Kluyveromyces lactis: one gene and its partner. The protein of the gene in region 2 purifies or fractionates together with the protein of the main gene of each other region. This does not show direct contact. Links are inferred from orthologs where the notes say so. Each region holds a gene or a part of one and is shown on either strand. Other genes may lie near its edges.

Region 1 (3,752 bases), on a different chromosome or scaffold from region 2:
TGCCGGCTCTTCGTCAACCGGAACCACGACGCCTCAGCAAAACAAACGTAAACCAAAGAAGTCTGCTACTACTGCTGGGAACAGCAATGGGAACGAAAATGCCCATACCGCTGGTACCCCAAGTGACGGCAATAGTGTTAACTTAACCGGCAAGGACTCTACACCAGACAATAGCTCCGAAACAAAGCGTGGCAAGGCCCATCACCATCAACAACCATCATCAAGATCTGGTACGCCTGTCGTCGGATCGAAAAAACAGCAGAGGAAAGGTAAAGACATACCGTTGGCACCAAAAGCCGATATCCGTCTTCCTGACAAAGAATACGACAGTATGGACGAAGAAGAGTGTAAGAAAACGATGACAAACGTCCGTAGCTCACTCAAACGTCTAAGATCTGGAGGAGACGGTCTTGAACGTAAGCAATGGGCTAACCTATTGAAGAAGGAATTGAAACGTGTTGGTGACTACATCGAATCGCACAAGAAGGACTCGTCTAAGACCTCTCCAGAAAAATATAAAAGACATTTATGGTCTTTCACTGCATATTACTGGCCAAGAGATGTCCCATCTTCCAAACTCCTGGCGATGTACGACAAAATCAAAGCCTCTGAACATTAATTAGTCAAATGTAACAAAACATAGAGATATATACGCCTATCAATTTACGAAAAAAAAAAAGATATCTAATCAACAACATATTGCTATTAGTTATTATTACCTTCATAAATGACATGAGGCACAAGGGCGCACCAGAAACAGCCGGCTGCTAGTAAAATACCTGGTTTGTTGTGGTGATGCCTCAGATCATTTCGCACGTACCTACCTTTCCTTTTGTGGAAAAGCTTTAAACTCTTTTTCAACTCTTTAAATTTTTCAATGAAAATTTTCACTTTTTGGCTAACTCATCACAACAATTAAGGACTGTTCTCACAGAGATGGATGAATTATATAACGATTTTAAATAAGTTCTTGTGATGTTGTTTCATTTATTTAATTTGTTATAAGTTTTTAGTTATCTTGGTTAGTTTATACTGTTTCGTTTGTTACTTATTTGTATTACCTTTCTGGTTCAGTTATTGTAACATTTTATTTTGTGCAATTTGTTTGTTTAAAAAGACCACGGTCAAAGTCAGCAAACTCTCTAAAGGTATCATCTGTATCCTGTATTTTAATTGTTTTTGGTAAAAGAAAAGAATAAGCGTGGTTTATATCTTTTTAATATTAGTCAAAACATTCCAGTTAGAAGTCTTTTTGAATTCAAGTTAACTAAGGGTTTTTCATTTCCATCCATCGTTAAATCAAAACTTAATAGTTTCATCAAAGGTTCGCAACTGTGTGGGTATTAAACAAAACAATACACTAAAATACACATTAAAAAACCATAAAAAAACATATATTTTAAAAACACATTACAAAACCAACCAACCGCCATCTTTTTCGGTTAAATTTATCTCATCTCATCTCATCTCATAATGTCTGATATTACTGAAAAAACTGCTGAGCAATTGGAAAACTTGCAGATCAACGATGATCAGCAACCAGCTCAATCTGCCAGTGCTCCATCCACTTCTGCTTCTGAAAGCGAAGCTTCTTCTGTTTCTAAGGTTGAAAACAACAACGCTTCATTGTACGTTGGTGAATTGGATCCAAACATTACTGAAGCATTGTTGTACGATGTGTTTTCACCATTGGGTCCAATTTCCTCGATCCGTGTTTGTCGTGATGCCGTCACCAAGGCTTCGTTAGGTTACGCTTACGTTAACTATACTGATTACGAAGCTGGTAAGAAAGCTATTCAAGAATTGAACTATGCTGAAATCAACGGTAGACCATGTAGAATTATGTGGTCCGAACGTGACCCAGCTATCAGAAAGAAGGGTTCTGGTAACATTTTCATCAAGAACTTGCACCCAGCCATTGACAACAAGGCTTTGCATGAAACTTTCTCCACTTTCGGTGAAGTCTTGTCTTGTAAAGTTGCTTTAGATGAGAATGGAAACTCTAGAGGCTTCGGTTTCGTTCATTTCAAGGAAGAATCCGATGCTAAGGATGCTATTGAAGCCGTCAACGGTATGTTGATGAACGGTTTGGAAGTTTACGTTGCCATGCACGTTCCAAAGAAGGACCGTATCTCCAAGTTGGAAGAAGCCAAGGCTAACTTCACCAACATTTACGTCAAGAACATTGACGTTGAAACCACTGACGAAGAGTTCGAACAGTTGTTCTCCCAATACGGTGAAATTGTCTCTGCTGCTTTGGAAAAGGATGCTGAGGGTAAGCCAAAGGGTTTCGGTTTCGTTAACTTTGTTGACCACAACGCCGCTGCCAAGGCCGTTGAAGAGTTGAACGGTAAGGAATTCAAGTCTCAAGCTTTGTACGTTGGCAGAGCTCAAAAGAAGTACGAACGTGCTGAAGAATTGAAGAAACAATACGAACAATACCGTTTGGAAAAATTGGCTAAGTTCCAAGGTGTTAACTTGTTCATCAAGAACTTGGACGATTCCATCGATGACGAAAAATTGAAGGAAGAATTCGCCCCATACGGTACCATCACCTCTGCTAGAGTCATGAGAGACCAAGAGGGTAACTCTAAGGGTTTCGGTTTCGTTTGTTTCTCTTCTCCAGAAGAAGCTACCAAGGCTATGACCGAAAAGAACCAACAAATTGTTGCCGGTAAGCCATTGTACGTTGCCATTGCTCAAAGAAAGGATGTCAGAAGATCCCAATTGGCTCAACAAATTCAAGCCAGAAACCAAATCAGATTCCAACAACAGCAACAACAACAAGCTGCTGCCGCTGCTGCTGGTATGCCAGGCCAATACATGCCACAAATGTTCTATGGTGTTATGGCCCCAAGAGGTTTCCCAGGTCCAAACCCAGGTATGAACGGCCCAATGGGTGCCGGTATTCCAAAGAACGGTATGGTCCCACCACCACAACAATTTGCTGGTAGACCAAACGGTCCAATGTACCAAGGTATGCCACCTCAAAACCAATTCCCAAGACACCAACAACAACACTACATCCAACAACAAAAGCAAAGACAAGCCTTGGGTGAACAATTGTACAAGAAGGTCAGTGCCAAGATTGACGACGAAAACGCCGCTGGTAAGATCACCGGTATGATCTTGGATCTACCACCACAGCAAGTCATCCAATTGTTGGACAACGACGAACAATTTGAACAGCAATTCCAAGAAGCCTTAGCTGCTTACGAAAACTTCAAGAAGGAACAAGAAGCTCAAGCTTAAACTTGATTTTTTGACCTTGATCTTCATCTTGTCCTTTCTATATCTTTCCCCCGAAGAAAAAGAAAAATTAAAAAAAAAAACGAACAGCTAACTATATGAATAGTCTCAGCTTCACGCATTGGAACTGGGTGGTGCTAATTAGCTTACGCATTGTTATAGACCTAAACTAGTCGAAATAAACTACTTTCTGCCACTCTTCTTTTTCTCTCGCTTTTTTTTTTTTTGTTCATCACAGGCTTTCCATTGTTGCCAAAAATGTTGTGCTTTTAATCTTTACCAATAAAAAAAATTACCACGCTCCACATATACCATATTACCACAATCCATCACATCACTCTACCCTTTCTCCATACCGCTAATTCAATCCGGAGGTATGCCCCATTTTTCTCTTCAAATTTTTTCTTACTGATTTTTTCTATCTAACTATTATTGTTACTCTACCCGTTTTATATAATACTAAAGCTCTAATGGGAGGACATTAGTAGTCTTTTTAATGAAGA
Region 2 (3,472 bases):
CATGTCTTGAAGTAGGCGATTGCACCATTTTGAACCTTTGAACTAAAATCTATCTTTTTATCTTTTTCGATTATTTCGACATCATCTATTAGATGACTCGTAATCTTATCACAGTTCTCATTCAAACCAAAGATAAAGATCCCTGAAATTTTCGTCTCTGACTCAGCTTTCTTGATACTCCCTAGATTATCTGCAGCCAAGGGATGGGTTTCCCATCTCATAATTACTTCATGCTTCTCAACGTCAAGGCTTTTAATACGTACCCTGTTTTCAACTGAGAATGCAAAAGTGTTCAATAAGAACCGTATGCTATTCCAGACAGCATAATACTTCGTTATTCCGGAGAAGCTTGGCAAGTACGGATGGGTAATAGGCATAATCTTCAACTCTATGTCTTTGCTTAGTCTCGGTTCATGTAAAGAAGTTTGTAGAAGATGTGGGACATTTGACTGCAAGTATGTTATCGTACATCCCAAATTCACACGACGGATATTTTCAGTACTCATCTTTCCATTGTTACCAATATCAGCACACCCAGAGGTCCCACTGTACCGCCGCACAGACCGCAGAAATCCTAATCTTCTTATTGTTGTGCTCATCGATATAATAATTAAACTAATGGACAAATCTCGTAAATTTTATCGTTAAACGCATGCAAATTAAATCTTAAGCTATTACGGTAAGGTGTTATTCTATCAGTACCCAAAACTTTCAATATATTAGGCAAATATTAACTATGTTAACCCAATGTCTAATGTACCATTCGGATCTATTACATTTGCTTTAAGCAGATTTGATCATCACGATATTTATCCCCATGCCAAATGTTGAGAAAAGTCTCGTTACCCTGACATACACATGTCATATCAATTTTTTTTTTTCGCTTCTTCCTCTTCGAACTTTTCAACTTGAAGGCTTTCTTTCACTCTAAAGATATAATCATCGATATCTAATTGTTTCGATAGTGTTTGCGTTTGGTTGGAGATAAATAGGTGTGCAAGGCCTGCTATTTCGCTAATTTGGCGCAAATTATTACTTAAGTCATTAAGCCATCCATTAATTTTTAAGAGAGCTTCAATTGATTGAGAAAACTATTAAAAAAGTGCCTCTCACATCATTCATTCATTCTTTGGTTTAGAGATCTATTTAAATCAATCTTAAGCATTTTAGCAACCAAGGCGAGAAAGACTCAATAAGTTACATAGGTTTGGCTCATGTCGTTCCAGTTGTTTGCTAAGACTAACTCCACCGTGGAAGTCTTCCAAGGATACCCATCATTTGAGGAGATTTCCTCATCTAAGAGCGGAAACGATGGTACTGAAGGTAAAGTGATTCAATCTCTTTTGTCTCCATGCGGTAGATTCATGGCTAAATCGTACGAGAGTAAAGTTGTACTGTTAATCGGTGAAACCTGGGAAATCACATTGGTGGAATTACCGTTAAAGAACGTTTATGACCTAAAATTTTCTCCAAGTGGGAACTTTTTGTCTACTTGGGAAAGACCTTTAGTAGACGACACAGAACACCTAAATTGTAAGATTTGGAACTTGAATGAGTCACCATTGTCTACAGAACCAAAATACAGTTATAAAGCATCGACCCAAAGTTCTTGGACTTTACAATTCTCTAAGTTGGATGACTATGCCATCAAGTCATTTGGTAAGGAACTTCGCATCATCAAGTTAAGTGGTGAAGACACATTCAAGTTTGACAAGCCATTTGCCACTTTGACTCCAGACCAACCATTCACCACCTATCAAATATCTCCGGCTGAACATCCAACTATTTGCACGTTCACAAAGGAAAAGTCAGGAAAACCTGCACAATTAACCATTTGGCCCATTACCACTGGTAAGATTACCAAACAAATTGTCACCAAACAATTTTTCAAAGCAGATTCATGCCATTTAAAATGGAGTGATTTAGGTAATGCCATATTATGCCTAACCACCACTGATTTCGATCATTCTAATAAGTCCTACTACGGTGAAAATAACCTGTACTTATTGTCATTCCAAGGTGTCAATGGTGCATTGGGTGGCGAATCAGTCCGTGTATCCCTTGGTAAAGAAGGACCAATTCATGATTTCAACTGGTCTCCAACTTCGAGACAATTTGGTGTCATTTACGGATTCATGCCAGCCACTATCACATTCTTTGATCTTAAGGGCAACGCCATCCATTCTTTAAACGAACAAAGGAAAAACACATTAGAATTTTCGCCAAATGGTAAATACATCCTTGTTGGTGGTTTCGGTAACTTGCAAGGCTCTGTGGATATTTTGGATAGACATGATAAATTTAGATGCATCAGTAAATTTAGCGCTACAAACACTTCTGTCTGCAAATGGTCTCCAGGCGGCGAGTTCATCTTAACAGCAACCACTTCTCCAAGATTGAGAGTGGACAATGGATTGAAAATCTGGCATTATTCTGGTACCTTGGTGTTCGTTAAAGAATACAAAGAGCTTTTGAAAGTGGATTGGAGAACGAATTGTCCTTTCAGAATAATCAAGGATGGGTATGTTACCAACGGTAACAAATTGAAGGACGAGGAATTGAAACAAGATCCAAAGATTAGAAAGCATCAGCTAGAAATACATCCAGTGGTCACTCAGTTCAACTTGAAGAACCCAAACAAGTCATCAACTAATTTAGGCGCCAAGAAAACCACTGGAGCCTACAAACCCCCACATGCTAGAAAAGCAACTGTAGTACCTGGAACCACTAAAACTAGAGCACCACAATCAACTCCAACGCCGCCCCTTCAACAATCTGCTGCAAGTCAAACTTCACCAGAAGAAAAGAAAATCAGATCTTTGTTGAAGAAATTAAGAGCCATTGAGTCACTCAAAGTAAAACAAACCGAAGGTGTCAAGTTAGAAAACACCCAGGTCACAAAAATCCAATCAGAACCTAAGATCTTAAAAGAGTTGGAATTACTTGGTTGGAAGGGAGAGTTAGATTCATGAGAGAAAATACCAGAACCCCATGAAAATATTATCTCCGGATCCATTAAAATATACACCTACATTCTCATTTATTACAAGTTGGATGTATTGGAATATAACCTACATATCAGAGATATAACAAAGCCACGATAGTTAATAAAGCACTGTCAACCCTTTCATAATCATTTATAGTAACGCCTTTTACTTTATTAGACATGCACGCCATTCGGACAAAAAAAGTTTGAAATTCAACCAAAAAGAATGGTCGCGCCCGGATTCGAACCGGGGTTAATGGAATATTCGGGACTTGTACTTCTCTCGAAGCAACTTCTCAGAATCCACGGTGATAACCTCTACACTACGCAACCGTCAACTTATTCCATCCGGTGATTTGAAAAGACCATCAGGGGCAATTGTTGCCAAAGAACATCACTGTCTTGGGAATTATTCTCCATACGTGAAAGCGTGCCCCATGCTATGTGGCTTCTCCATTCAGGCACCTATTTCGACAAATGATACTA

Evidence for each region. Proteins that work in one complex are often made in the same cells at the same time.
Region 1: the proteins of KLLA0_A02761g (region 2) and PAB1 purify together in Saccharomyces cerevisiae (affinity purification with mass spectrometry; 3 studies listed by BioGRID). This does not show direct contact. The link is inferred for Kluyveromyces lactis from reciprocal best matches to the Saccharomyces cerevisiae genes YGR054W and PAB1.

The regions. Positions count from the first base shown.
Region 1 is NC_006039.1:1,551,849-1,555,600, forward strand, and holds PAB1 (polyadenylate-binding protein), read left to right. Parts: upstream 1-1,473; coding exon 1,474-3,252; downstream 3,253-3,752. Other genes in the region: chromatin-remodeling ATPase CHD1, read left to right, coding at 1-619. UniProt on the Saccharomyces cerevisiae protein: Binds the poly(A) tail of mRNA. Appears to be an important mediator of the multiple roles of the poly(A) tail in mRNA biogenesis, stability and translation.
Region 2 is NC_006037.1:246,657-250,128, forward strand, and holds KLLA0_A02761g (translation initiation factor 2A), read left to right. Parts: upstream 1-1,214; coding exon 1,215-2,972; downstream 2,973-3,472. Other genes in the region: MCO32 (Mco32p), read right to left, coding at 1-599. UniProt on the Saccharomyces cerevisiae protein: Functions in the early steps of protein synthesis of a small number of specific mRNAs. Acts by directing the binding of methionyl-tRNAi to 40S ribosomal subunits.